Linked DNA regions of Lytechinus pictus. The protein of the gene in region 1 binds, or shares a complex with, the protein of each later gene. Links are inferred from orthologs where the notes say so. Each region holds a gene or a part of one and is shown on either strand. Other genes may lie near its edges.

Region 1 (7,005 bases):
TGTCAAGAATTTGACAGGTTAAGTTTTTTTTTGGCACTATTTTTTTACTCTAAAATTTCATACAAATTTGCATCAATATAGGCCCATTTGCCTCTATTTCATGGCAATGTTTATTTTGACCAATCTCAATTTTCCATAAATTTTTTTAATGAATCACCACGTTTTGCGGCCACAATTCAACAGCCCCCACCCTCTGTTCGACAAAACGCATCATGTGTGCAAGTGCCACCGAATTGCGCTGCACGTACCTCATGCGATATGCAACCCAAAAGTTGCAGCGGCCATTCACTCCCACACAACAATTGGACCCCATGTCGAATGGATGATTGCCATTATAGCATGCAGTCAACTCGATTACTGTGCAATCTCAACGTGGTTGGCTAGGCCCACAGCTGCAAATTGTATAGAACAGATAGCGTAGCGTTCACAGGGCCTGACCTTTACTTTTTTCTTAGGGAGCCAGCCGGGCTCCTCAAGCACTTTTTTAGGGAGCCCGCATGGGTTTTAAGGAGCCCAAGTTTATCCCTTTTTTTTGCATAATACTGGTCATTACCTATTAAAATATTAAAGCACACCATCACGATACCAGTTGTATTTATTCAGGGTAAATCAGATTTTGACACCCCAACACACTTAGACACCGGTCACAAACACATAAGTCAATGACTTTTTTTTTTCATTTTTAATGCCCCCCCCCCCTCAAAAAAAAATAATAAATTCAAAAAAGGAAACAAATTAAATACATAAACAAAATTGATTTTTTTTTTTCATGCTGAATCATGGATGTGGGTTGGTGTGTGTTTGTGTGGGTGTGACTGTGCGGTGGACTTGGATATACATGTATATGTTAAAGAAATTAATTCATCATCTAATTTTTACTCCAAATATTGTGTTTATATCAGTACAAAAACCACACAGGCTAAGTATGTCACATGTAGGCACATGTTACATGTACATGCATGTATACCCTAACTTTTCCTGCAGTTCTTTGAAAACGCAGATCTCCACGAAAATTGCATTTTTCTATAGGGGAGTCTAAATTTGGTGAAAAAGTATTCATCAATAACTTAAATATATATCACAATGAAGAAACCATCCAACTTTATTGGTAGTTTAAAAAAAAAAACCTGAAATGTAAACTCTATCTGAAACAGAAAATCACCATCATTGAGGCCTTTACTGACTGAATTGTCCCCCAGAGCTCAGGCAGAGAGAGAGAGCTCCGACTTGCACAAGTGTCAGTGCGTGCGTGAGTAAAATCCGGCGTCCTCCTAAAATCAGATGTTGCCATGTTTGATGATTTACTGTCTGATATTTACCCCCTCCCTTGAAAAAATGAAACAAATGATTTTTCAGGAATAATTCACTACCGAGGTAAGTTATTTTGGATGTTAATAGGCGCCCTTTTGACAAGCAGAGCCGATGTCTACATGACACAGAATCGTGATATCTCTAAGGGAAATGTGTGCATTGAAAATTACACACGGCGTAAATGATAATGGACCCCTGTACATGCAACTGTTTCTCGCACCGGTGTAGCACGATTCTTTTTTCCATAGGTACCATGTGTGTGGAAAAACGTGGTACAGAAAAAAAGACGCAGCTAAGCAATTTGAAACTCGCTATTTTCGCTATTTTCAAGGTTTTTTATGATTTTGAAAACATAATTTAGACTTATAAAGCGTGGATTAGTGTGCTGGTAAGAAATTGCTTTTTTGGTGGCTGATACTAGAAAATCTTAGGGAGCCCACCGGGCTTTTTCAATTACTTTCTAAGGAGCCCGCAGAGGTTTTAGGGAGCCTTTTGCCACCGGGCTCCCGCTAAAATCGAGCCCTGGTTCAACGCTAGCGGGCATGTACATTTTGCTTATTACATGACGTCATCCAGCCACTGCAGAGAGCCAATTTATGAATGAAAATATAGCAAGCCTTCCATTACCCCACACAGTATTCCAAAAAGTGTGTGCAGTAAATCGACCTAGAATTTAACTTTCCTATATTTAAGATGAATATCTCGGAGGATCTACATGGATTTTCTTGCCAATACTGCACAGGTAAGCGAATTTCGATTACTTCCTGCTTTTCAGTCAAAGCTTACAAATTAGCCTCGATATGACATTGTGTTAGTTGGAGTTTGTAGTCTATCGAAACGTGCACAAAGTCACAATTGATTTCCGGGTTTCGGAGCATCTCGTGAATATGCATGAAATTGCCGAGTCTTGATAATTTTCAATCAATGCTGGAGCGATCCGATCACGAACCAAGACCAATTCCGGCGTAGACAATGTGACTAGATATCTTATCGTTATCGATACTTTCGCAGTCCGAGGCATAATTTTGGCGACCACGTAGTCATGACGTGATCTGCGCGATTGACCAATCAGCGGTCTCTGATTCGCTGTCGGGGACGGTCTATCCGTATTACACAGTCTCTGGACAATTTGCCACTGTGAGGCCCTTTTTCCTTAGTTTTTCAGTTCTTTCTTTTTTAAGTTATTTTCAAAATACAATCCTAAATTTGCGAGCTTGTAAGTGAACTTACAAGTCATTAAGTCATTCTTAACAACAGATTTTGGTCTGTTCGATTTTTAGAAATTTTTTAATCAGTGGACCCGCTTCTCAAATTTGAGCCAAGCTCTGGAAATGGCTCAGATTCTGTATTTTAAGGGAAAATTTTGACTTTTTGAAGGGTAGGCCTATTTTGGAGTTCACATCAGAAATCGATTGCACGTGGCGAGTTAGACCAAAAGCTTCGGTCTCTGTTACATGTATGTTGGCTGTTCCGCTGAACTCCGTTGGCTCCACTCACCACATACAGAGACCGGAAGTTCAACTTCTAGCTCAATCTGTACAAGGACTCAATGGCCATATGTTTATGTATTTAATAAGTTCGGATAAGACAGGGAAGTGAAGTTGCGCGACAGCTGAAATCACTGTTTTTCCCTTTTAAGTTTATTTTTCCCTGTTTTGGTGCATTTCAGGCCAAAATAGAATATTTTTTATTTTGGTAGCCTAGTTCTTTTTAAATATTATGTTTATGAAATGAAGTCAAAAATCGATGAGCCCCGTCGGAGGGATTTTGCATTGTTAACCCCCTGCTGCATGATACTTGATAGCGAGCCGTCCGTGTAGGCCCTAGGGCTAGGCCTACCCTACGAGAAAAAATAAAAATGTTGAAAAACTCCTCGACCAGTGTGCCCGTGTCATGCGCAATTGAACGTGCTGGCTTATCATGAAATGACTTTGGCTTGCATGTCGAATTCAATTTCAAAACACGTTACCATACTTACGCCGTCACGGTACCCCATCCCCCCCCCCCCCCCCCCGAAAAAAATATTTTGAATTCAAACACTCCCAGTCGAATGGTGAAAAGGGGTACCCAATCTCCCCAATTTGCAATTGATCTGACTGAAGTGAAAGAAAATACATAAGATTCTAATCTGGGCTTTATTTCACATTCGGCACATACACTCGCTCCAGTCTCTCAGGCTCAGCAAATAGCACACCTCAGCTCCACCGCGCTGTAGGCCTAGGCCTACAGTCACTCTAATTCACCACACATCACCTCGTTACGCAGATCAACACGCACCAATTTACACATATAAATAAATGTTTCGAATAAATCTCACCTTATCCCTCATCCTCTAATTATACGTATTAAAACTTCTTTTATAGGTACTGGAAGTTTGAGGTGCTGATTATCCTTCAAAAGAAGGATTTAAACAGATTTGGGAAGCACCGCAGTTGACGAGTGTCAACTGTGAGCGATGCCTAGATAAAGAGAGAGCGTATTGGTTGTAAGTTGCCGATTTAAGAAAAAGAAACACAAACAACACATCATGCGTTCGATGATAAAATCCATCAAAGAATTTTCACATAACCGATACAAATTAATTGTTTTCTTAAGGCAAATAACTTTTAAATGTATTCATGTATATCCATTTATTTCTATTCCATCCTCGAAAATTTTTTTTTTTAAATTTGTTATCAACTTATGTTACCAAAAATGGCGGAACCCATGGAAGAATTAGAGCAAGATTTACTTTGCGAAAAACCTGCTGATACCAATGCTATTGAGGGAAATGAGGAATCGACCGGTCAGCAATCGATGGATAGTCAGACCTTGTCTGCAGTTTTACAGTTCTTGAGGAAAAATAACCTGAAAGTGAGTTCCAGGGTGTCCACCTTTGCACTTGCAGAGATAAAAATCTGTGCTGCAGTGCATTGCCCGTCCCCATGCATAAATATCTGTGTGTGTGTGTGTTTGTTTAACTTTTTTTTTAACTTCAACACAAAAAAAGTTTGTCTGTCTAACTCTAAGTTACATCTGTTTAGCTAATCATTACATTAGACTTGATATGGATTGGATCAAGATATAACTATGGTGTCTGAAGCCACACTGAAAAGTGTCAGCATAAAACAGGCTGATTATTTTAGGGCAAAATACCGGTATGGCACATTTTTGGGGGGAAGTTCAGGCCACTCTAGGCGACACCCCAACTAATAAACTGGGACTCCACTCACGCGCATTTGGGCCGCCCTAGCTTAGAACTAAGCAATATTATCTAGAAATTGTTAGGCCTACATTGTAGTCATTAAATATGTTCTATTAAATAAATTGATAATGTTTAATCGGTACTCACCGGTTCTTTTGTTGCATTTTCAGACCATTTCTCACAATTCTTCGAAAATATTTGCGGCAAATTTTGTCGCCATAGACAGCTTAGCATCCATCTTTATTGATAAATGGAGCGCCCTTTACGATAGTTGTTAATGCCGCGGAGAAATCGTTAGGCATTTTGGCCTGTGTTCAAGGCGTTCTTTCTGTTTTATTTTTTATATTGAAGATTGTGCATTTGTTGAATAGCGCCGTCTACGTCAGGTATGAGATCGAGTGTATAAATAAACTCTTCCAAAATAATTATGATTGCGACCTGGCGCTGTTTAACTTCAATCTCTTTCACCTAAATTAGCGATGAATGCTAGCATTATAAAATATATATTATTAACGTCTGACGAAAAGAATAACCAACCGATCAGCTGCCGAGAACGCGAATCACGTGATCTTCATATCAGCTTCGATCGCGAGTCAGAAGAGAAGAGCAGCTGCCCAGAAAATCAGGAAAAAGCCGTGAAAATGTAAGTTCCCCTTCATTTCTTTCATTTTTTGTTGTTGCTAACGATGCATTTACACTATAAAATTATAATTTAAATAAGAGAAAGGAATATAGCTTGTACTTGTGATATAATATATAAATATCCTGTTCTCAGAGATTTCTAACCAAAAATACTACTGATGTCGCCTATGAGGTCCATACATGTAATGTTGGACCTCATTGGTACTAGGAGTGGTTCAGGCTACTATTTAGTACTAACACTCTAGGCGACACCCCAATACTTACCCGTGTTAATAAATAATAGACTGGGACTCCACTCACGCACATTTGGGCCGCCCTAGCTTGGAACTAAGCATCAATATCAATTTAAAATATATATCTACAAGTTATGTATAACCTATTTACTACTTTGATAATGTTTAATCGGTACTCACCAGTTCTTTTGATGTATTTTCTCAAGAATTTCCACGGATTTGTCCCAAATCTTGCGACAAACCACGTCGCGGTAGACAGCTGTACATTCTTTTTTATTTATAAATAGAGCGCCCCTTACGATAGTTGTTAAGAACGCGGCCAAATTGTTAGGTTTTTTGCACTGTGTCCAAGGCGTTTTTATTTTGTTTGATTTTTTATTTTTTAATAAATATTTTGTTAAATAGCGATTTTTACGTCAAATATTAAATTCATATCACAAAATATTTTTAATTGTAGAAATATATATAATATCATGCAATTATTTATTCTATATATATTTTATAATAGAATTTATAATTGTTGCGGTCTTTAAAAAAGGATAGTCGATCGATTAGGTGATGACTACTCGTATCACGTGATCTGAAAATCAGCTTCGTACCGCTTTGATCGCACTCGACGGGACCGGACTGACTGCCAAGAAAAGATTGAAAAAGGACTCAAATGTAAGTTTCCCTTTATTTTATAACATTTAAAGTATGAGAAGGATTATAGTTAATGGGCAATTTTTTAATAAATGCTAAACAAATGAGGACAAAGCTTGCATTTTTCGAGTAATAATCACTAATATCATAAAAATACTTGGGTGCAGGACTTCTAACCTGTTTTTAACGCATTGTCGCCTATGAGGTCCATACATGTTAATGTTTGGACCTCATTGGTACTAGGAGTGGCTACTAATAGAAAAATGTGATCTGAATTGATTATTAACTTGTGAAGTTGTGTTTGGCATGTATGGAAAGAGAAAATTCAGGGGCTTCTTTTGACAGTAAGGACAAGTTTATATGATCATTTTAAATAAGGATTTAGAGATATAAATTTCAAACCCTTATTTTTGTGTGTGTTGAGATTGCCATTTCTCCATGCGTTTTCTATGGGAATATGAAATTTCTGTTTTGCACAATTTTTTTCACTTTGTCGCAATTTTTCATGGTGATCTGGTTTCCAAATCTATATAAAAATCGTACCATCAGATAGAGCATAAAAAATCCTATTGGACTCTTTATGGACAAGTTTTTGGCATTAATAATAAATTTATAACAGCTCTCGGAAGCTAAAAATTTGTGTGTGTCCATTTCTTAACTACACAGTCTATGGCAGAGAAATTCTGAAAATTGACCTAATTTCATTCTTCTCTTTTGCAGCCAATAATTGGATTTTTACATTTCTGTCAGTCTGAAGGTCATTTCTCTTCAAATCCACAAAGAAAATGTGATATTTTCTTGAAATAAGAAAAATAATTTTTTTCTCCAGACACCCTAATATAACGTTGGGCTCAAGTCTCAGCTCATCTATCTTTAGTTTTCAGTTAATTGATGGCCTGGGCTGGGCTGTCAGCACTCACACTAATACGAGGTTAGGGGGGGGGCACTCAGTATATAATGCATAGTGGGTATTAGACCAAAAGCTTCGGTCTC
Region 2 (7,687 bases), on another chromosome or scaffold:
AATAATAACTTTTTTCTGCTACCCTTTTTAACGTTCATATTCAATAAATCTTTACCAAAATATGTCTACAGTATGCGTCCCAGCAAGATCGAATTACCATTTTAAAAAATGACAGTTTAATTCCTTCAGTTTGATAATAATAATAATAATAATATAGGGTATTTATATTGCGCACATATCCACCTTGTTAGGTGCTCAAGGCGCTCCTATATTACCCGGCTAAGCTAGTTCATAGCGCACACAGCTTTTAAAGGAATTACTTCCTACCGGTACCCATTTACCTCACCTGGGTTGAGTGCAGCACATTGTGTATCAGTTTCTTGCTGAAGGAAATTACGCCATGGCTGGGATTTGAACCCACGACCCTCTGTTTCAAAGTCCGGAGACTAATCCACTGGGCCACAACGCTCCATAAAAGGGTGATAAAAGGGTATCATTATTATGATTATGCACCCGGGACCCCGGGCATAATAACAAGCGATACAGGTTCTTGGAGTTAAGCTCTCTTTGGGGGCGAAGGACCAAAAAGGCCCGACTAATACAAATCATAAACCATTTAGAATGCTCTGTGCAGAACAGTAATCATAAAATAAACTTAATGATACGCGAACCAAATGATTTATTGGTGTTGTGATGCCTTATGGATACATCAATTGATTAGGTGCTGAAATGTGATAACTATAAAAAAGCAAACATGATTACTGTAATAAATGAAAATAAATTTTCAAAAGACTGCTTTGTAATTAAATAAATCATAAAACACGCTTATGGGACAGTTTGGCAAAGAGCCATTTGGTAAAGATTTACAAGTACATGGGTGTGTGCATAATAATAAGCAATCGGTTTAAAACCTCAAGCTATCGGAAAATTGCAATGTCTTCCATGGGCGGAAATCTGTCCCCAAGGTAGGGGGGGCAGGGGCTGGAAAGTTTGACAAGCAAAAAAAAGGTTATCACCCAAATTGTAAGGTCGTTTTAACCCCCAAAAAAAATGTCAAGCAAAAAAAAAAAAAAAAGTTCCGCCCAAAATGTAAGGTCATTTTAGTAGAGAATACACGTAGGCCTATTATTTCGTTTGTGAATGATGTTATTTTTCTCCATCATAAAAAAAGGCAGGGGGACATTTGATATTGTGTCCCTCCTACTATTTTTGGTAGGGGTATATAACCAATTACATAGGAAACATTTTGCGTCTAGGTTAATCAGTCATAGTGGCTGATGTTATAGACGACAGATATCACTCTCGGGCCTTTTTATCAATGTAGAGACAATGGCAGAGTGGGGATTCGAACTCACAGTCCTGCGATTATGAGGCCAATGCTCTTATAAGTATAATGATATAAGTAAGTATAATAGTATAAAGGTATAAGTTAGATATGTTTAGCTAATATCATGTGAAGAACTCAATATATTGGCCTGCCTGGCAGATCAGATCACTGATCACTGGTTGAAACAAAAATATTCATCTGGGAAGTATAAAACTTTGTTGGGACAAGCTTTAATTTTGGGCGAGGTGTATCTCAGTAATTGGCCAGAATTCTGCGTATTATGACGTACGGGACGGTGAATCTTTTTCTGTTTGCATCGTTCATTGAAGAATCCTCATTCAATACAATACATTGTATCAATATCCAGATTTTAGTAAAGTGATTATGTTTTCATGATCTACTTCGCCAACTTGGGTTGGGTGACTATACGGAATGCCACCTTCACTGATCATACATCGGCCAAAGATGAAATTACATGTTTATGGCAGGAAACAACACTTGCAAAAAAAAACAAGAATGAAAACAAAAAAAGGGGAAACATACATGAATTAAATCTACCTCAATCTAGTAGAGAAATGACGAAGTTCATATTATTACTCGCCCGATTCCCAGGGCCATGTATAACTGTGGTTGTTCCAAATTAATGGGCCATTAAAGAAATAAATGTACAGTTCAAAGGACTTCGCAAACATTTGGATGAACTTTTATCTTGTAATCAGGGTAATATATATTTAATAGATGTCTCTCCATTGCTGTTCTATTGAAAAAGAGCAAATACTGACCTTGAACTTTAGAAGTTGTTGAACTCGGTATTCTAAAACTGGGAAAATGTTTGAAAATATACCCAAAGCAGTTACGCCTTCACAATGTACGTATTCAAGCCATCAATGCGAAATGATGTGTTTGCATTTTTATCTTTTACTTTGGGAATATTGAGACAGTCCTATCTTATGATATGCCATTCGCGAATTATTATATAATCATTAAAATATCTTTTGGGGGCAGATTTGCCTGTATGTTTGTGGCATAATAATGTGGGCACGATTATAAAAAAAAGTGCTTCTCTTTTTCCAGATTTATTCTATCGAAATCAGTTTAAGCTTCGCATTTGCGTTTTTGTTTAGTGAGCGACGAATCGTAATAGGTTTAAAAATGGAAATAAATTAAATATGTATACTCAAAAGTTTCAACTCCCATTCTCATTATTTGTGTTTAATGTGATATATTTTTCATGTTAAAATTATAAAAACATTACTGTTAGTTCTTTACTAGTTCAAAGGTCTTTTGATGGGGCAAGGGATGCTGTAACTTTTTATAAGCATATTATCGTCTTCACCAAAAAAATGTTTTTAAAACTGAGTATATGCTAAACTCTTATATATGCCTTGAAAATGCCTTAAAAATGCCTTAGGATTTCGAGGCTTCAAATCCTTGGGGCCATGGCCAAGGCAGACCGAGATATAGACGGAGAGCTGCAGTCTCTTTTCAGTCAGGTTTTCTTTTTTTTTCCACCTGACTAATCCCCCGCGCGCTTACAGCTTGCATACAGACCAGTCTTTCCACTAAGGAAATTACCCAAATTCCGGTTCAGTAATCCGGATCATCATTCAGGTAAGTTTCGGGTAAGTAAAAAATTCTAGGTAATTCCGTGTAATCCGAAAATTACAATTACACAACAATTAAATGGCGAAACTTTTAATATTTATGTTATCAAAGAATTGTTTACCTCGATACGAAGCCCAAAATTTTCCGCTCGCGCTCCGCGCTCGCATTTCGTCGATTTTGTTGAACAATTAATGTTATATCCTTTGATTTTGGTCACTTGGACTGAATATAGGCTGGCTGTATTATTGCCCGATTTTTGTTAAAAATCAAACTTGAAACTACCAAAAAATATTTCTGAATTTTTGGGGAATTTGGGATTCAGTTGTGGGGAAAATGTTTTAGATCTGAGGAGACACTGATGCAGACCATACAGGTGGATTATCCACGTCACCTCAATGACCATTTCAATGCTTTTTAGCCTTTATTCAGATAATATCACATTTTTCATACATATTTCATTTCATTTTCATAAATTAAATTTACAAAATGAAGTGAAGTACATGTATACAGCAATAGAACAAATGAAATATTATACATTGTGATATACATTTTTAACAAAGATTATCATAACCCATAATACTTACAAAAAAAAGTTCATTTCTCTTGTATTTACTGTATAATAATGCGGTATTGTATGATGAAAAAATCCAAACAGAAAGACTTTTCAAGTTCTGAGCAGATAATAAAATTGATACCGTATATAAAATAATTTGTTTATAGAGATGTGAATTATATAGGCTATCCCATAATAAAATATATATATTTATACCTCTATATTTTGCAAGACAATACAAAAAAATAAGTGCCTACGTTGATACTTGGAAAGTGTACAACAATCTGAATAAAGATTTTATACATTAAACATACACAAAAACAGAACAAACATATGATGCAGACCTATGTTGCAGCAAGGCCCTATATATGAAGAGCTCACTTGCATAAGGGGTTAGGTCAATTTTTCATCAAATTTGATTTTTTTTCCTTTTCTTTTCTTTTTTTTTTTTTTTTGTCTCAATGTATATATAGATTTTTAGTAGCTCTATAAGATCATACCAAAGGAAAGTTGAAATTCCCATTAAGAACTGAAATAAAATGGCCAATAAAAATCACCTTTTTTCAAAAGGGGTTAGGTCCATTTTAGTTTGGTTGCAAAAGGGGTTAGGTCCACAGAGATTTTTTTTGGAAAAAAAAATATTTTTAAAAATGTGAAGACAGGTAGATTTCTTTCATACCCAATTTTATGTTCTCATGGTAGGGTATCATGAAATTAAGTTTCGCCGAACAATATTGCAATATGGGAGAATTAAAAAATGATTTTTTAGTTGGAGTGGACCTAACCCCTTTTGCAACCAAACTTTTCTGAAGAGCTCATTTTTCAAAAGGGGTTAGGTCCATTTTTTTTTTAATATAAATTTTATTATTTTCTGTCTCAAAACCTCTAAATTTTAAGTCGATCTGATGATACTAAAGAAAATTTGAAATTTAAATAAAAAACGTGAATAAAAAGTGTCAATGCAAAATCACTTTTAATCAAAAGAGATTGGATTCATTTCAGTTTGCTTGCAAAAGGGGTTAGGTCCACAATTTTTTTTTTTTTTTAATATATAGAAAAAAAATTGGGGACAGGTAGATTTCTTTTATACCAAATTTTATATTCATATGAAAGGGTAGTACATTATGATAATTTAGTTTCTCATAAGAATATTAAAATAAGTGAGAATAAAAAACTTGTTTTTCTCGGAATGATCCAAACCTCTTTTGCAACCAAACTCTTCATATCGTATCTCTGTGTGTGTTGCAGTTACACACGCCCTCTATCGTCATTTTTACAATAATGGCTGAATCTTCAAGCGCTGCTGCTTCCAATTCAGAGGTTTGTTTTTCGTTTTGTCACAATGATAGTGCACTATTTACTATAATCTTTTGCGCATTTATTTATGTAAGATGTATTTCTATATTTCAGGGTAAAAGTATTTCGTATTGTTACTTTGGGAGGTCGGTAACGGTAATGAAGTTAACAAGTTATATTTTATTGTATGTCCCGTATGCTGCAAAATTTGTTGGGTTTTGTACTTTTGTTGCCAACAATGTTGGATTTTGTACTAGTCACTAGTAGTAGTACTCACTGTACGATCCATGATATTTCTATATATATTTCAGGATCAAAGTATTTCATATTGTTACTTTGGGAGGTTGGTAACGGTAATGAAGTTAACAATTATACTTTATCGTATGTCCCGTAGGCTGCAAGGTTTGTTCATTTTGTTGGATTTTGTACGATCCATGCAAATCATGATATTTATAGGCCGATGCAAGTTTTTTTTTATCCAAGTCACTCATTCAATGAACAAGGTTATGATATAACCTTGTTCTCAGTTATATCTCCATGTGTGGCAAAATAAGGGTGGCAATGTTTGGCTTATTTTCTCTTTTTCTTTGGGACAAATGCTTGATTTTTTTACACTGACAGTTTCCATTAGGGCCTACACCTATTCGTCATACAACTTGGTTCTCTTATTAAATTTGATTCTTTAAATTATTTTTTTCTTAATTAAAAATAGAGATTAAAAAAATAAAATTTTCTTGCCATATTACTTTCTACCAATAGAGGGCGTACACAAAAATATGCCCGAAATTCAAGTTTTTGAGCGCTCTAGTGAATACAAAAATTATTCCCCAGTTACTAATGAAAAATAAATTGCAACTGTATGGAAATTAGTAATTTTGGTCTCAAAAGTGATATTTTAATGATTTTTTAAAGTACGCGCGACCCACTAGTTAGGAATCCACTGCCAAACGCGGTTCATGGTGCGAGGTTAGTATAACTTCGCAATACATTTGAGTGAGACTTTCATTGTGTTGACCAAGTGTAAAATGATCAACGATCGTTTTTGATTAAAATGTTGCAACATCCTGAAAGTCTCCTGATGACATTTTTGATAATCCTTTTTAGACTCGGGATAATTGCAGACCACTGACTCGACTGAAATAAATACAAATGTCTCAAATTGAGCTCTAAATTTATATGAATGATGATGTAAATTATTGTTAAATTATTACGATTTAATAAAATTTTAAGGCCATACTAAAAATATTGGTAATGTCAGCAAAGTTATGTTAAGTTGGAATATGGAAGTACTCCGGACGTCTCCGAGATAAAGAAGTACATCGCGCATGCGCGATTGATAACATAATTTTTCATTCATGAATAACTTACTCTGCTATGTCATGTAAAATTGTATTCTATAATGATATTACGATCGTGAGAAGAGTTTCTGCAACGACGATGTTTGAAAATCAATCCTGACATGATATAATTTTATTTAGACAAGTGCACCCATCACTCGTTACGGAATTCGTGATGTCCGTCATTAAAAATGGAAACGTAATACAAATTGAATTGAATTACATCAAACTCTAAATTCATATTAATGATTATCATTCGCAAATTATTGTTAAAATATTAAGATTGAATAATGTTCTATGGTCATGATAAGAAATATTGTTAATGAACGCAAGATTTATTTTACGTTGATCCCGGCGTTGATTTTCCTTTCAGAACAATTTAGATCTGGTTTGATTAAAGCACAATGCGCATGTGCGATCGATGACTATAAATTCCATTCATGAATTCATCGCACAAATTATCTCGGCACGAAAAGACGAGTGAGACTCGAATTAGGATCAAAATAAACTTCAAATTAATGGTGAATAGGCATCATAATTATACATGGTTTCATTTTAGGGAAATAGAAATCGAGTAATAGCTATTAAGGCGCGGCAAAAAGCACATAGCTTGTTTTATCAATCATAACGTCACTGCATCGTATGTAAACTTCGTGAACGCCCACGCCCCAGGTGGGCCCAAGACAGATTTCATTCATAAAAAACTGTGAGTGAAATTCTAGCGCAAATACAGAACCTCAAGGGTGGGTATGAAAGTGGAATTTTAGTTATTAATACTTGTGCAGCGTCTGAGAACTTGGAATCAATGTGAGGCTGTCAGCATGGTAATAGAATTGTGTTCAATTAAGTAATTGTTCACTTGTTTACAACTCCCACGCAAGTTTTATACAGATGTACACGGTGATGGAATTCAGTACACATGCACTGACTTGACCGGGCGTGTACATGTGTACCCAAAACGGGCCTAATATAGAAGGCAGCACACGGCCTTTTGTTGCTGCCCTCTACGTTCGAAGATGTACAGCACGAAATCAAAATGGCAGATAGGCAAAAGATGTTGACTGCTCAGAATGATGTCCAAAAAGCCCCAAATTTATCGATAAAACTTCATCCAACCCTAAAATAATGCAAAAGGTGAGGATGTATTTATGCTAAATATGTTTGTGTAAAGATGTTATGTAACCATTTACATCCGATGAACACGGATTTTAAAGCATTCTTGGTACAGTGGCTGTACCTTGGAGAAAGCTATGGCTGGTCCGAAGTCGTGGTCAATCTTGACCACCGCAATTGCCATCGGCCAGTTTTCATAACAAAGGGAATAACCATCAGTCCTGTTAATATGATATGTATGGATTAAAATAGCTTGTGCAAAATAGTTGCAGGGTGGAAAAAAACCCTTAAGCGGCCGCACACTGGTGCAGATACTCTACATATGTATACCAACTCGAGTAATGCGCCCGTAATTTGATATGACACATGTGCCTCGAATCGATCTCGATTCAACATGTCAAACTTATTTCACATGCAAGCAGTCAATCCCGACAACACACACTAAAGCTGTACCCTTCTGGACAATAGGCTAAGTCAGTGATAACATCTAATTAATGCCATCAACACATGCGGGAA
Region 3 (7,406 bases), on another chromosome or scaffold:
CCAATTTTCTTAGTTTGCATTTGCTGCAATGGGATTATCTTCATGGGGAAAAGAAAATGTTAATGAAATTTTCTTTTTTCATACTAACCATTTTCTAAAAACCAATTGTATACTGCATCTACCATCCATCTTGCTTTCTCCAAACTATCACGACCACCGAAACCGTGCCTTGCAGCCAGCTTGAATACAAGAAAGGAAGAACATTTGTAATGATCATTAATTTATGTCACATTTTTCTGCTATTACTAAATTCCAACTTGGTCTTGGCCTATTGATGGACTTCCTAGAATGCTACAAATTGTACACGTCGTACCATGAGGTAAAAACATAACAGTATTGGCCTCATAGGCGATAATAGCACATATACTGGGTGGTGCATTCATAGAAAGTTGGCACTTGGGGTAACACAAAAATGCACACAATGACGGCAACAAGGCTGTCGGCGGGTTGAATTGTCTAGCGATTTTATTTTCATTACCTCTTAGTTATGAACTTTTTTGAGTGAAATTAGTTATTTCTCGAGTGTTTGGGTAGCTATACAGGCAAATGAGAGCTATTATTTAATATTACAGATAAAAATTAACGCACACAGTAGCCAGGGCTCGACACTAGCGCCAGTCCGACGGTCCCAGACCGGTAAAAATCACTGTCGGGCCGGTAGATTTTCAGAAATAGCAAGATTTACTGGTCCGACAAGACCAGTAAGAAAATATCATTGTCGGGCCGGTAATTTTTCCCAAAATAGCAAGATTTATGGGTCCGACATAAACAGTAATAAAAACCATTGTTGGGCCAGTAACTTTTCCAGAAATGGTCAAATTCACTAGTCCAACATAAACATAAAAAATATTCCATGACTCAAATTGCAAACCATTTTCCTCCCGTTAAATTTGGTCATTCACACACAGAATACACACAGAATGAATCGCATGCAATTTTTACTAGGGTAACATACAGTGTACATATGGCTAGCCAGCCACACAGCCCACATGGTGAATTTTCTACTGGCTGCACGAACGAAGCTTGGCGAAGCTTGGCAAACCTCTGGCAGAAATCTCTCACAGAACGGTCAAAATTCACATTTCACACTAATGAAAAGCTCTTATAATGTCCATATTTCCAAAAAATTGGGGTAACTGTCATTTGTAAGCAGTAAAAGGAGAAATTTTCACTTCTGTTTTAGTTCAAAGAGATCGGGTTTCGAGTGATATCGTCTGAATACATGATAGCCCCACATATGCATTTGTGTGTGTGTTGATACACTTGGTTTCTTTCGTAGCTATATCTTAATTGAGCCAAAAAGAAACTGATAATTTATTTATGATAGTTTTAGCTTTCTTCCCATGTTTTCTTTCTATCTTTCTTTCCTTCTTTCTTTTCAATCTTTCTTTGTTTCTTCCCTCTCTTCTTTAATTTTTTTTGTTACTGTCTTTCTTTTTTAATTATTCTTTGTCTTTCGTTCTTTCATTCTTTCTGTCCTTTTAACATTTTTCTCTATTTCTTTTTCTCTTTCTTTTTTTATTTCTTTCTTTCTTTTATTCTTGAGTCCATCCATCCTATATTTATCTCTTCTTTCTTTCTTCCTTTCCTTCTTTTTACCCTTTCTTTCCTTCATTCTTTGTTTCTTTCTTCATTCCATCCATCCTTTCTTTACCATTTCTTGTTTTTTATTTCTTCCTTCTTTCAGCCCTTTCTCTCTTTCTTTCATTCATTCCTTCCTTTCTGTTCTTTCTTTTTTCCCTTCATTCCATCTATCCTTTTACCTTTTTTTTTTTTTTACTGTTTGCTTCCTTTCCTTTCTTCTTTCGTTCTTTTTTCCCTCATTCCTTCCTTTCTTTGTCTTTCGGTCTTTCTTTTTTTTCTTACTTTGATCTATTTTACATTTTCTTTCTTTTTTCTATTGCTTGCTTGCTTCCTTCCTTCTTTCCTTCTATCTATCACTTTACCTTTCTTTATTTCTTCCTTCTTTCAATACTTTCTTTCTTTTTTCCTTCTTTCCATCTCTCCTTTTACCCTTTCTTTCTTTTTTTTATTGCTTCTTTCCTTCTTTCTGTCTTTTGTTCTTTCTTTCTATATTGCTTGCTTCATTTCTTTCCTTCTTTCTTTCTTTCCTTCATTCCTTTATTTCTTCTTTTTCTTTTGTTCTTTCTTTATTTTTGTTCTTTCTTTCCTTCCTTCCTTTCCCTCTTCAGTTCTTTCTTTTTTTCCTTCCTTCACATTTACATGTATCCTTTCTTTACCCTTTTTCTTCCTTTCTTTCTTTCTTTCTTTCTTTCTTTCTATCTTTTTTCCTTCTTTCCATCTTTCCTTATACCCTTTCTTTCTTATTTTATTGCTTCTTTCCTTTTTCATTACTTTCTGTCTTTTGTTTTTTCTTTCTTTCCTTTTTTTCTTTTGTTCTTTCTTTCTTTCTTTCTTTTTTCCTTCCTTCACATCTATCCTTTCTTTACCTTTTATTTGTTCTTCCTTCCTTTCTTTTATTATTTCTTCCTTTGTTTCTTTTTGTCTTGCTTTCTTTTTGTCTTTCATTCCTTCATTTTTTTTTTTGGGGGGGGGGTAACAAGAAAGGACAGCAAAATAAACTCACGCCTTTTTTTAATGTTTTCTTTATTTTGGGGACCAGTAGATTTTAGGTTCGGACCAGTAAAAAATGGAAAAACTGGGTATCTACTGGTCCGACATGAATAGGTTGGACCAGTAGAAAAAAAGGGTTAGTGTGGAGCCCTGCAGTAGCAGTCCACAAGTTTGAAACAAATTAACAGCGCTGATGCAGTTTCGCTGCTTTCGCACCAGCAGCCAGCTTCGAGCAAATTTCGCACCAGAAATTGTTCGTAAATAGGCTATTGGTGCGTTGCAAGAAACTTGCGATCAATTCCCAAGTCTATTTTCGTTCCCGCAATCAAGCATATGCCATGCAATTAATTGTAAATTTGCGCTTGATTTTCTATCTGCTCCTTGAAACAAGTAGTGTAATCTGATTTGCTACAATTCATAGTGATCAAATAATTGTAAAATTGCAACAGAATATTTGCGATTGCAAACATTTTCTTGCAACACCCCTTTAGTCTCTCAGTCACATTTCAAGGTCAAAAGTAAATGGGTGACTAGACCAAAAGCTTCAGTCTCTGTATTTTGGTTGTTCCGCTGAACTACGTTGGCTCCACTCACCATACATAGACTGAAGGGGATGGGGCCCCGTACCTACAGCCAACGTATAGTGAACTAGCGTTTTATAGATCGCGATTTAAAACTGTTTTTTAAGCAAAATTGAAAGTTTCATGGTTTCCATTATCAGGGAAATATAAATAAATTAAGTAATTGCATACCTTGGGCCGGAGTTATTGAAAAAAATCCTCTGGATGATTGAGAAATCTGTCATCTAAGACATTTTCACCTGACCTGACGGTTTTTCTTGCAAGTTGCCATCTTGAATGACGTCATTATCGTTATTAACTTAATGTCTCGAATCGATATATCGCGATTATAACTAGTACTAGTACTAGTATAACTAGTATCGTTTATCTTCGGTTTCGATCGCATATGGAGCAGATCGTATAATATCGAAAGCAATATCGATATCACATTCGTGATTGTTGACGTTCGTTTGTAAATATTTTATAGTTTGGCTGCCATTTTGACCATTTTTATCGTGTTCAACCCAATTAAACATCGGTAAAGTATATTTTTCATGCCTTTTTCATCTATATCGTTTAAAGTATTTAAATATTAAAATATTAAATTTTAAAAGTTTGTTGTTTATACATCCTTAGATTGTAAATTCGATGTGTAAAATTACATCAAACTTTGGACTGTGAATTGACAAAAGGGAGGGAATGAGAACACATGCGAGCCCACACGTACACCCTACCGTCGGTAAATGGGGATTACAGTAAAATGTCAGAAATTGTTGAATAAATCCCCAGAAACGACGGTTATTCCTGTCTAATGGGTGACCTGCCCCAAGTAAATCTTTTGATCGCACCTTTTACGGCAAAGCCGTGTCTGAGAATTAACATCAAGATTGGAGCCGACAAACAGCCGTCCCCGACCGCGATAATTGGGGAAAGTGGTAGGCATTTTCTTCATTGACTTGTGACTGAGAAACTTTGACTTTTACATTAAGTTATGTTTAACAAACACGGATTACAATTTATGGGGCTTAACAAATTTTTAAGCAAACAGAGTTGGAGTAAGATTATAATGAACAGATCTAGGCTTTTTTCATCGATGTAAAAAATCTCCTAAATGGATTTTTCGCTTATATAAATTTAGATTTCTGTATTCACCTGTAAACCTGTCCATCCGTCAAATATAGATTGAATACTTTGGTGAAAAACAACAAGATGTTCTTTAGCTCCTGCGACAGCCATGCTTCTCATCAAACAAGCTCCCTCTGCGGTCGAGACCGTTATTGAAGCTTTTTTTTTCAGACGGGACGGAAAAAAGAGGCAAATGTAGACTTAGAAAGGATATCTTTTTCGATAATATGAGGTAATAATGTTCTAATTAATTACTTGCATGCCTTATGTGCTCCATAATTAACTTTAGCATTTGTAAAGTAAGTAGACCTAAGGCTAATAAATGATGGTGAGCGAGTGTATGTGTGAGAGACTGCAGACTGCAGTGACAGCTGGGGAATCTTACGGTACGGAGCTAGGTTGCTGCTGCCCGCCGGTGCTGCGGCGTGGCTCATCGATCGCAGCGGTGCTCGAGCTCTGAGCTCTGGCACCTTTTTTGCTAACCCAGAGAGCTCCCGCCCGCGCAGCGGGCGGGAGCCCAGAAGCTCACAGTGTATTCTACCATTGCCACCGAACAAGGGTGATTTATGGTCTAAATATTTCTCCAAATTAATTGTGAAAACAAAAAGTGTACAATTACCACGATTATATGGATGAAGGTCTAGCGAGTGGCAGATTCCTGACATCTGAGCACAGTCTGGAACCTCAAAAAAACCAAAAGTTCTCTCCTTCTACCCAGTCTCGATCGGCCATTTTGTTACGATTTTTAACAAAAATGGCCGATCGAGACGGGGTAGAAGGAGAGAACTTTTCGTTATTTTGAGGTTCCAGACTGTGCCCAGATGTCAGGAATCTGCCACTCGTTAGACCTTCATCCATATAATCGTGGTAATTGTATACTTTCTGTTTTCACAATTCATTTGGAGAAATATTTAGACCATAAATCACCCTAGTCCGGTGACAATGGTAAAATACACGGTAAGCTTCTGGGCTGCGCGGGCGGTAGCTCTCTGGGTTATATCAATACATGATTTGTCTTGGTTTATGTGGATATCCTTGTTTTCTGGGACAATCCCAATTTTTGGACCGGCGCCTCTACTGGCTGCTCTTTTAGACTTAAATGAGAGTTGAATGGCATCCACTTTTCAAAATTATGAATTGTCCAATGGATTATTATTTTGTGTTAGTGCATGGACAAAGCCAAAATGGATATTATGCAAAGCCGCTAGCTATGCCTATCTAACGTTAGACAGCTGGCAGCCGGCCGTCTGTTTTGAGGAGTTTTTTAACTTTTTTTTTATTTCTCCTCGTACACAGACGGCTCGCTATCGTGCAGCCACCATTAGGGGGTTAACAATGCAAAACACCCTGACGGGGCTCATCGATTTTTGTCTTTATTTCATGAGAATATATAAAAAGAACTGGACCAAAATAAAGATTATTATTCTGTGTTGGCCTTAAATGCACCAAAACAGGAAAAAATAACTTAAAAGGGGAAAAAACAGTGACTTACTTCGGCTGTCGCGCAACTCCCACTTCCCTGGTTGATCCGAACTTAATACATAAACATATATATGGCCATTGAGTCCCTGTACAGATCGAGTTAGAACTTCGGTCTCTGTAATTGGTGAGTTGAGCCAACGGAGTTCAGCGGAACAACCAACATAACAGAGGCCGAAGCTTTTGGTCTAATGCATATCATGCCTAGGCTATGCTCAGTAGAGGCGCAAGGCCAATATGGGAAGCTCCAAAATAGGAGATTGTCTCCCATATTGGAGACTTGCTTTGCAAAAGAATAAAAGAAAAAAAAAAAAAAAAGGTATTTTTTCCACCCAAAATATTGTCTCACTGAGGTCAGAAGCCCATTTGTTTTGTTTGTGGATGGCAACAAAAATCCTTATCAAAACAAAAATAGATGGTGTTTATTTAAAGTAGATGGTGAAAAGGGGTAATTTTTCATGAGGAATCTATCACATTTTTATTTGCCGCCAAGCTAATCCTTTTGCAGCAAATGTAAACAAAGGAAATTGGTCTCCCAAACTGGAGACTGTCTCTGAAATTGGATACCCAAATTCTTCACAAAAGTCTCTGATATCTCTCTAATAGGAGACAGTCTCCCATATTGGCTGTGCGCCTCTACTGATGCAAGTCAGTGATGCAGATTTTTTCTCTCACTTATAGGGACAGTGATATTCCGCGATCGCGGAAAATGGACGGAATTCACAGAATTGGCCTTTTGAAACGGAAAGTGGCATTTCAAACGGAAAATCACAGAAAACATATTTACCTCAGAATACACAGAACAGCAACAGAAATTACTCAAAAATCTCAACAAAATATGAATATTAAATGGCCACAAAACCTCACAAAAAACGAACTCACTTCACTACTAAGTATGACAATCCACACATCGTGACTGCTCTTGACTCCATCACACTAGATCATACCCCTCGCCCGCGCCACGGCGGCGGGGTAGGCCGTATCGAAAACATTCATATACACACAACGTTTGATTGAACAACGCGGTGTGTTGCTGCCCTCTACGTTTGAAGATGTAACAGTACGATAGTCCACACACAGAACGATAGTCCACACACACACACACATAGTCCAGTCTTGATATCCAAAATGGCGGATAGGCTGAAGTCGTTGACTGCTCAAAACGATGTCAAAAAAACCCCAAAATTATCGATTTCATTTCATTCAACCGTAAAATAATGCTAATAATGTGAAAGGTGAGGATGTATAGGGACAGTGATTTTCCGTTTCAAAAAATTGCCTTTTCCGTTTCAGAAAATCTCAAATTCCGTTTCAGCATGTCAGAAAACGGAAATTCCGTTTCCCCATAGACTTTGTACACACGGAAAACTGACAATTCCGTTTACACATTGAATAGCAAAATCACAACACGCACACTCGCACTGGTCAAAATTAGTATCTGCTACTGTACCAACAACACAATAAAATCCGTTCTAATCGGATCTATGCGGGTGCATAAAATATTTTTACACACCCATTTTGCATGTATACATCCTCACCTTTCATATTATTAGCATTATTTCACGGTGAAATGATATTTCATCGATAATTTGGGGGTTTTGGACATCGTTATCATCAGTCAACGGCTTTTGCCAATCCGCCATCTTGGATTTTAAGACCACGATATCG
Region 4 (7,932 bases), on another chromosome or scaffold:
TGATGCAGTACTTCCAACCCTCTGTTTTTATGGATCTCTCTTTCTCTATCTCTCTCAAACCTACCCTGCTATTGTGGTTAACAAAATAGTTCTATGGAGTGGGATTTTACTCAATTAGCTGCTCATTGGCTTTAAATGGTTTAATGCTAAAAACGCAACATGACAAAGATACATGTAGGCTGATAACAATATAACATTTTAAAAATATAATATTCATTGATGTTATTGAATGCAGTACTTTCTCTCTCTCCCCTCTCCACTTTGTTTCAGCCTGTCTTGTTCTCTGTGATTTTCTTCTTTCACATTTTTTGCCTTTGAGCTTCAAATAATTTTTTTTCTATATTGTTTGGTTCTGGCGTTCTATTCATTCATGTGGTTTTACTCTAATGAGTGCATGCTGGAAAGCTTCAGTATGTTTGTTTTTAATGCTTCCAATTCTGCAGTACCAAGCAATTAATCAAATGATTTCTTGCTGTTTTCTTGTAGATAGTATGGTATTACATTATCTTGCCTTATGTCATTTGAGTGGACAATTTTTTTTTTCTTGTCATAATTTATTCTAAAGGTCATTGAGGTCATGGTCAAGGATGCCCTTGTCTGATTGACCCTATCTATGTCCTTGGAGATTAATTCTGTCCATCATAATTTTCTTATTTGTTCTGTAATATAGAATGTTCCCTCTAGTAATGTGGCTTTGTTTAAAAAATAATGACATTTGAGGCATGGTATGAATGGGGAAACTAAAGGTGTAAGTGAATCAATTGTAACTGTAATAGGACAACAGGGTTTCAGAATAGGTTCATCATGTAACAGGTTTCTGGGATCAATCTAAAGGTGTTGTGTAAACTTCCTAGTGTAAACTCAGCTTGTGGATGGCATTAATCACCTTTACACTACACCTTAGGTTTATGTGATCAATCTAAAGGTGCGGTGTAAACTACTTAGTGTAAACCCAGCTTGTGGATGGCATTAATCACCTTTACACTACACCTTAGGTTTATGTGATCAATCTAAAGGTGTTGTGTAAACTTCCTAGTGTAAACTCAGCTTGTGGATGGCATTAATCACCTTTACACTACACCTTAGGTTTATGTGATTAATCTAAAGGTGCGGTGTAAACTAATTAGTGTAAACTCAGCTTGTGGATGGCATTAATCACCTTGACACTACACCTTAGGTTTATGTGATCAATCTAAAGGTGCGGTGTAAACTACTTAGTGTAAACCCAGCTTGTGGATGGCATTAATCACCTTTACACTACACCTTCGGTTTATGTGATCAATCTAAAGGTGCGGTGTAAACTACTTAGTGTAAACCCAGCTTGTGGATGGCATTAATCACCTTTACACTACACCTTTGGTTTATGTGATCAATCTAAAGGTGCGGTGTAAACTAATTAGTGTAAACCCAGCTTGTGGATGGCATTAATCACCTTTACACTACACCTTAGGCTTATGTGATCAATATAAAGGTACAGTGTATAAAAGTAACCCAGCTTGTGGATGGCATTAAGACAATTTTACACTACACCTGTATTCAAACAATTTATGTGTTTTATAAATATATGTGCCACCAACATAATGAGGGACCTTGTTCAATCTACTTATTTTCCCTGTATTGACTAGTTGCCTTTCATGTATCAGAGGAAAAATATACAGAGGCTTAGGGCAATACAGCCCCCAAAATGATCAAAAGAAACTTAGAAACTATAAAAGGCTCTCGAAAATCCCCATTCATTGCAATGTTAAAACTTATCAAATGCCGCAAAATTAGGCTTCTTTTTTTTTTTTGCCTGACATGTATATCAAGCAATGTTTGTGAGAATTGAAAATTATTCAGAAATATTCAACTAAATGATGGCTCCTAAGCATGAGGTAGACTAAGGAATATCAATATACCTACAAGTGAGATCACAGGAAATCTGTAACAAAATGAGCCTGATGATTAATGCATGGCGATCAGGATGAAAGGAGAAGTTCACCCTGACAAAAACCTGCAAAAAATTGCAGAAAAAGGGATAAAAGATAGTGGTGAAGTTTTGAGGAAAATTCAATAAATATTAAGAAAGTTATTAGAATTTTAAGTTTTTGATTTGTGACGTCATATATACAAGCAGCTGCCCCCTATATGTTATGTAATATAAAATGCATAAATTTCAATGTTTTAATGGTTCATAATGAATAACTTTGTTCTTTTGGGAGCAGGTGTAATATAATTTGTCTGTTGATATACTGAAGACCTGTACAATAAAAAACATTTTCAATTTTTGAGAAAATGAAATTTCATTGATTTTTTAAATTCATGATACTTGGGAAGCTGCTCGCATATGACGTCACAAATATAAAATAATTGAAATTCAAATAACTTTAAGATCACTGATGGATTTCCCTCAAATCTTCAACAATATTTTTTTATTATTGTTTAGATTTTTACAATAAACCTTTTTGTCAGGATAAATGGTAATGGTAGTGATTGTTACCTGATTGCTGAGAAAGCATCAATGCTTGTAAGCAAAAACCAGAGGACCGATGACGTAAGGTCCTCTCTGAGGGACCTGGTAATGGGGATTGATGCCTTACCAAAGAGTACTAGCACACCAATTGGGAATCGAACCCCGGTCACCGAACCCCGCTCTACGGACTGAGCTATCGCGAGCTAACGTGAAAGCATGATATCACAATTGGGGCGCAATTTGTGAGCGTGACCGGCTAGGATTCTTTATACAAATCACTCTTGTAATTCCTATATTATAGATGGGGATCTGTGTTATTGAAAGAATTAACCTAAATTATTTATTTTTGTATTATGTGCTATAAGTCTTGTACATCAAATATTTTATAGATTTATTCACATATTTATTTCCATATATTGAAGTATTTCCATATTTATTATTTGTGATATTTGTCCACATGTCTGTTCAATTTTTTAATAAATGTATTCAATATGTCAAAAAAATGAACTTCCATATTGAATGTTAATTTATATGGATTTGACAACAAACATGCATGGTGCTTGTGAATTGACTACAACCAAACAAAGAGAAGTGTTTGCTTTAAAACCAAGCATCTCATTGAGAATATATTTTATTGTGATTTTTCACAATACAGCATGTTCCCCTAAAAATGTTAATGTCACTCTAGATGGGTATAATTTTAAAATTACAACATTATATTGTTTATATCTTTACACCTCTAAACTACAATTCATTTCCCAAAAGTGGATGATTTTTTTTCAGGGGCCGCGGAAGCTGATTGTGATTTTTTGTATGGTCAGCCCCCCCCCCCCCCCCCCTCACTTTGAAAACCGTTCCACGGCCCCTGTTTTTGTGATATGGTCCAATGATCACAAATATATGAGCATTTATTCATTAAACATCAGGAAACCTCTTCATCCAAGTTTTATATCAAGTAGTAAGTTTCAGCTAACAAGATTTTTGTGGTTCAAATTATGTCTATTCACGTTCAGCCACGGGTGTGAATCTGCAAGGATATTCTTTTGTTCAAGACTTTGTGATGACCTATTCATTCATCCCTTCTAATGAATAGATGAGATCAAGATAAGATCATGGATTACAAAATTTGTTGTTTTTTCTTTTAGGCCTATAATCAATCAATCAATTTTCATGTTTGATAAAAGATATCGTGCCAAGTTTCTCAAACCTCCATTAAAAAATAAATATAGGCCCGGAAGTTCTGCCCCAAATATCTATAAAAAACAGAGTGAATGAAGATATGATTGGACTACATACTTTTCTGAAAGAAGGCTCATATCTCTGTGTTCGATGGATCATATCACATAAAATTTAAGCCAGTTGCATATAACAAATGCCAATTTACGATTGTAGAATTATATACAAATATGACTTTGTAATTTTCACATTATACTCATTTAAAGTGTCATTAATATTTTTGTGGGACACGCTGTATATCTTGCAAGCTTTATCTTTTGCTTAGTGTGGAAACCATTAAGCTATATAACAAGAACAGGACAACAAAAGATTTTTAATGTGTGAGTTTGTCAAGAAGAAATTAACCTTCTTCTTCTTCTTCTGTTGATTTCCTCCAGTCCTGGAGAACTGCGAGATCCAGTGGATACGCAGAAAAAGTGGTTTGATAAATACATATAGAAACAAAAGAGCAAGGCTCAGGAGGAGATTGGAATAAAGTGTATCACCAGACTGTCTAGTTGTTGTTCACCAACAGAGAACGTTTAACATGAAGCTCATGCAAGAAATGAAGTTGGGGAGCTGAGGCAACAGATATACTAGTTCCATTAGTGTCCAATCCAAGAAGTACAACATTCGTAACAGCTGCTGCGACTTGCCATTGCAAGTAAAATCTGAGTTTGCTTGAACACAGCACACTTTTTTTTAATGAAAATATTATTTTGAAATTATATTTTAAGGCTTTTAACACATGACATTTGAAAATAAAATCTAGCTGCCTTTGATTTTGCTTGCATTTAAAATATATAAATGAGTGAATATTCATTCAATTTCCACAAAAAAAGAACGAATAAAAACCTGTAATGATTAAGAAAGGAATGTAATACCTACATTTATGTGTTATCATGATTTTAGACTATAGAAACTCACTCGATGCGCAAGAGAGGCAGATATAAGAGAGAATGGAGGGGGTTGGTCAAGAGAGAGAATGGAGATAAAGAGAACAGAGGGAGAGAAGTCCGCATGTGCATAAAATGCTTTCCCATCAAAGAATATAACACTTATGATGAAAAGAGTTATTTTGCATCACTTGCCAATGGTGGCACATAATGATATATGCATTTTGGTTAAAAAACAAAAGCAAAGAAATCTTGTCGTAGGCCTACGGATAGTCAAAGTAATATGTTTCAAATGAAATACCTCTTTTTCATTCAAATCCTGGATCCGCCGCTGATGTTTGGTTTTTTTTTTCCGTTCTTCTTTCTTTTTCCATTTTGACCTTTCGGCGACACGGTTTTGTCGGTACGGATAATATCGGAGGAGGCGAGATTTGTTATTTGGAGTCACTTTTATTAGTCTTTATTGTCAGCTTTCAGTCTGAAAGTATTCTAAAGGTAAGCCCATTGATTCCTCCTGTAATTTTTGCCTACGTTTAAGTTTATACCCCTTTCTGCAAGGCAGAGATCCCGCTGTAAGACTGGAGTGACGCATGACGATATTCCGATTATCTTACACAACAGTCCCATTCATTACAATTGCTGTTTGTAAATAAAAGAAACCACGTCTAAGTTTCTTGGGCTTGGCCACCCAAGTGTACATCATTACATGCCGCCGCGCACGGAAAAATTAAGCCATAGAAGTTGTGTGTTGTGTTAGTATACTACTAATAGTAATACTAACCTCGCAATACGTGTGAGTGGGGCTTGGCTTGCCTCATGCACTCACACTCGTGACACTATTCTCGTATCTGTCACCGACACCGTGTAGTGCAGTGTTAAATTGGCGAGATCAATATTAACAATTTCTACAAATACAATCAAACTTTTTATAAAATAAAAAAGACATGCACGGGAAAATCATATTATTGTGCCATACAAAATTATTACATTTGATTTTAAAACTTACATCGTGTACTTTGAGGTCCATAATTAATAATCCATTTTACAGAGACGATCTTGTCACTCGACACTCGTACATCCCCGAAAGAGTTGCCATCTTGAAAATATCGAGTTTCGTGAGATTTGACTTCCAGGTTTTATTTTCTCTCTCATTTCATCGCCATTCGATGAAACATCAAATTTCTTTCTTTGCGAACATGATTTCGAGTTCGAAAAGTTGTTTTGATGCTGGAAATACGAAACGGGTAAGCAAAATTGTGTTTTTTAAAGTGATTTTTTGTTTACATAATTCATGAGTATTTTCAATTTTTGTTCGGCCTTTATTTATCTTTTATTTCTCAGGCGACGTTTTCTTGACGCCAATTAAAGTATGAACTATGGAAGGTTTTTTCTTCGGGCGATGGTAATTTTCCGACTTCACAAATGTGTCGCATATCGCCCTCAAATCTTAAACGCAAGGTGATGTCGGACTAATGAGTCGTAATTTTTCTTGAGTTTGAGCGAGGATGAACTGGCATTAATAATGACCCTTTTGAAATTGTTTGATATGAATAACAATTCGTACCCCTAATGAATAAGAAATGTCGCATTGAACTTGTGCAATGATGAGGTGAATTGAAATAAATGGACCGCACGGATCGCCTATCGCGATCGAGCTCTGTGACTGTGTCGCTAGCTAGTGCATATGGGCAGCCAAAAGGGCCAAAATTAACAATCTCAAAAATTAAGAAACTCTCAGAAATAAATGTAGTATCCCAGTCTTTCAGAAATAAATGCAGCCTCTCAGACTCTCTCAGAAATGAATTATTTTTGTTATATCCCCGCAAAACTGTGATTGTGTTTATTTCCAAGAATTGTTTTTATTCCGTGAAAACATGATTCTGCAGTTGTCTTTATTTCTGTAGTTATCTTTACTTCTAGAGTTTTCTTATTTTTGACATTGTTTTATTTGCGAGGTCATCTTTATCTGAACGATGACATTTATTTGTAAAATATACTGCTATTTCAATTACAATATTTTTTTCTGAATGTGTCCTATAATTCTAAATCTTTATCTATGACTGACAAGATTTATTTCGGAGTTGTCTTTTATTTCTCAATTATATCCATTTCTGGTTAAATACATTTATTTCTGACTTATGTACTAGTCGTCCAAAGTAATGTATTAATTTCTGAATAATATATTTCTGAGATACTACATTTATTTCCGAGAGTTTCTTTATTTTTGAGATTGTTAATTTTGGCCCTTTTGGCTGCCCATAAGTGCAGTGGTCATGGCGCCAGTAGAACACGTAATCTACACGTGGCGTGTGTGTGTGCATGTACATGTGCACTCATCAGGTGTTAAGCCAAAGGAGACAAAGGGGGTATGTTAGCCCCCTCTTCAAATACAGTATATATTTTTTTTCAGCAAATGGGTTACATCAGGGATGGAAGGGGTATACCTCTTTTCAAACATAGTATTGACACGGGTGGATCTAGGATTTTCCAAGGGTGGGGGGGGCACATTTTCCCGAGGAAAAATTTGACCAAAAAAAGAAGAAATGTTTTCAACCAAAAATGAAGTACATTTCTTCTACAAAAAATCTGACAACCAAATAAAAGTCCTCACTTTCAAAGGGGGGGAGGGCACACTTGTGTTTTAAGTTTTAATAGCATTTTTACATATACAAATTTTAATTGTGCCTCTCAAGGGGGGGGGGGAGGGGCACGGGCTGGCTGCCCCCTTGACACCAGAGGTTAGTTACATGTACACCCCCCCACCCAATTTAAATGCATGCCCTGTACATGACCAGTGGAGGATCCAAAGGGGGGGGGGGCACATACTACCCACTCCTTGAGAGCCATTATCAAAAATTTTAATGTAAATAAATTCTGCTTTTACACGTGTAGCCTCCCCCCTTTCATTGGTGGCGGAAGCCAAAATATTTTTTTTTGGGGGGTCCACCTGAAAAAAAAAAAAGGTTATCAACCAAAATTTTAGGGAGCCACAAAAATGTTAGGGGGGGTCCACCTGAATCTAGGGGGGACCCAAGGAAAAAAATTGACAAGCAAAAAAAAAAAATGGTTATCAACAGAAAATTTAGGGGGGTCCGTTTTTTTTACTCCTCCCCCTTCATGCAGGTATATGTTGGACCCGCCTCTACTGCAGCCTTTGAACAAAAAAACTTACACAGTCATACAAATTCAAATTTTTCAAATTTAAGCTTATTGATATAAAATCCTGACATTGAAGGATCATCATCAAAAACAAAGAAACATAAGAAGAAAGAAAATAATAGAGTATTTATAAGCACAACATAGAACAACGAGGTACACACAACATACACAAAACCATATTTCATATTTTGCTCCGCCCCCCCCCCCCCC

Evidence for each region.
Region 2: transcription initiation factor TFIID subunit 5-like (region 1) and transcription initiation factor TFIID subunit 13-like share a complex: the UniProt entries of both Homo sapiens proteins name them as parts of the TFIID basal transcription factor complex. The link is inferred for Lytechinus pictus from reciprocal best matches to the Homo sapiens genes TAF5 and TAF13.
Region 3: transcription initiation factor TFIID subunit 5-like (region 1) and transcription initiation factor TFIID subunit 3-like share a complex: the UniProt entries of both Homo sapiens proteins name them as parts of the TFIID basal transcription factor complex. The link is inferred for Lytechinus pictus from reciprocal best matches to the Homo sapiens genes TAF5 and TAF3.
Region 4: transcription initiation factor TFIID subunit 5-like (region 1) and transcription initiation factor TFIID subunit 8-like share a complex: the UniProt entries of both Homo sapiens proteins name them as parts of the TFIID basal transcription factor complex. The link is inferred for Lytechinus pictus from reciprocal best matches to the Homo sapiens genes TAF5 and TAF8.

What each region holds. Positions count from the first base shown.
Region 1 is NC_087245.1:16,414,826-16,421,830, reverse strand, and holds the start of transcription initiation factor TFIID subunit 5-like, read left to right. Parts: upstream 1-3,988; 5' UTR 3,989-3,993; coding exon 3,994-4,164; intron 4,165-7,005. UniProt on the Homo sapiens protein: The TFIID basal transcription factor complex plays a major role in the initiation of RNA polymerase II (Pol II)-dependent transcription.
Region 2 is NC_087248.1:14,443,988-14,451,674, forward strand, and holds the start of transcription initiation factor TFIID subunit 13-like, read left to right. Parts: upstream 1-4,667; 5' UTR 4,668-4,706; coding exon 4,707-4,745; intron 4,746-7,073; exon of another isoform or gene 7,074-7,183; coding exon of another isoform or gene 7,184-7,192; intron 7,193-7,687. UniProt on the Homo sapiens protein: The TFIID basal transcription factor complex plays a major role in the initiation of RNA polymerase II (Pol II)-dependent transcription.
Region 3 is NC_087247.1:8,129,422-8,136,827, forward strand, and holds the start of transcription initiation factor TFIID subunit 3-like, read left to right. Parts: upstream 1-4,388; 5' UTR 4,389-4,491; intron 4,492-7,406. Other genes in the region: pre-rRNA-processing protein TSR2 homolog, read right to left, coding at 89-179, 4,287-4,379. UniProt on the Homo sapiens protein: The TFIID basal transcription factor complex plays a major role in the initiation of RNA polymerase II (Pol II)-dependent transcription.
Region 4 is NC_087250.1:981,321-989,252, forward strand, and holds the start of transcription initiation factor TFIID subunit 8-like, read left to right. Parts: upstream 1-4,932; 5' UTR 4,933-5,058; intron 5,059-5,414; exon of another isoform or gene 5,415-5,807; intron 5,808-7,932. UniProt on the Homo sapiens protein: The TFIID basal transcription factor complex plays a major role in the initiation of RNA polymerase II (Pol II)-dependent transcription.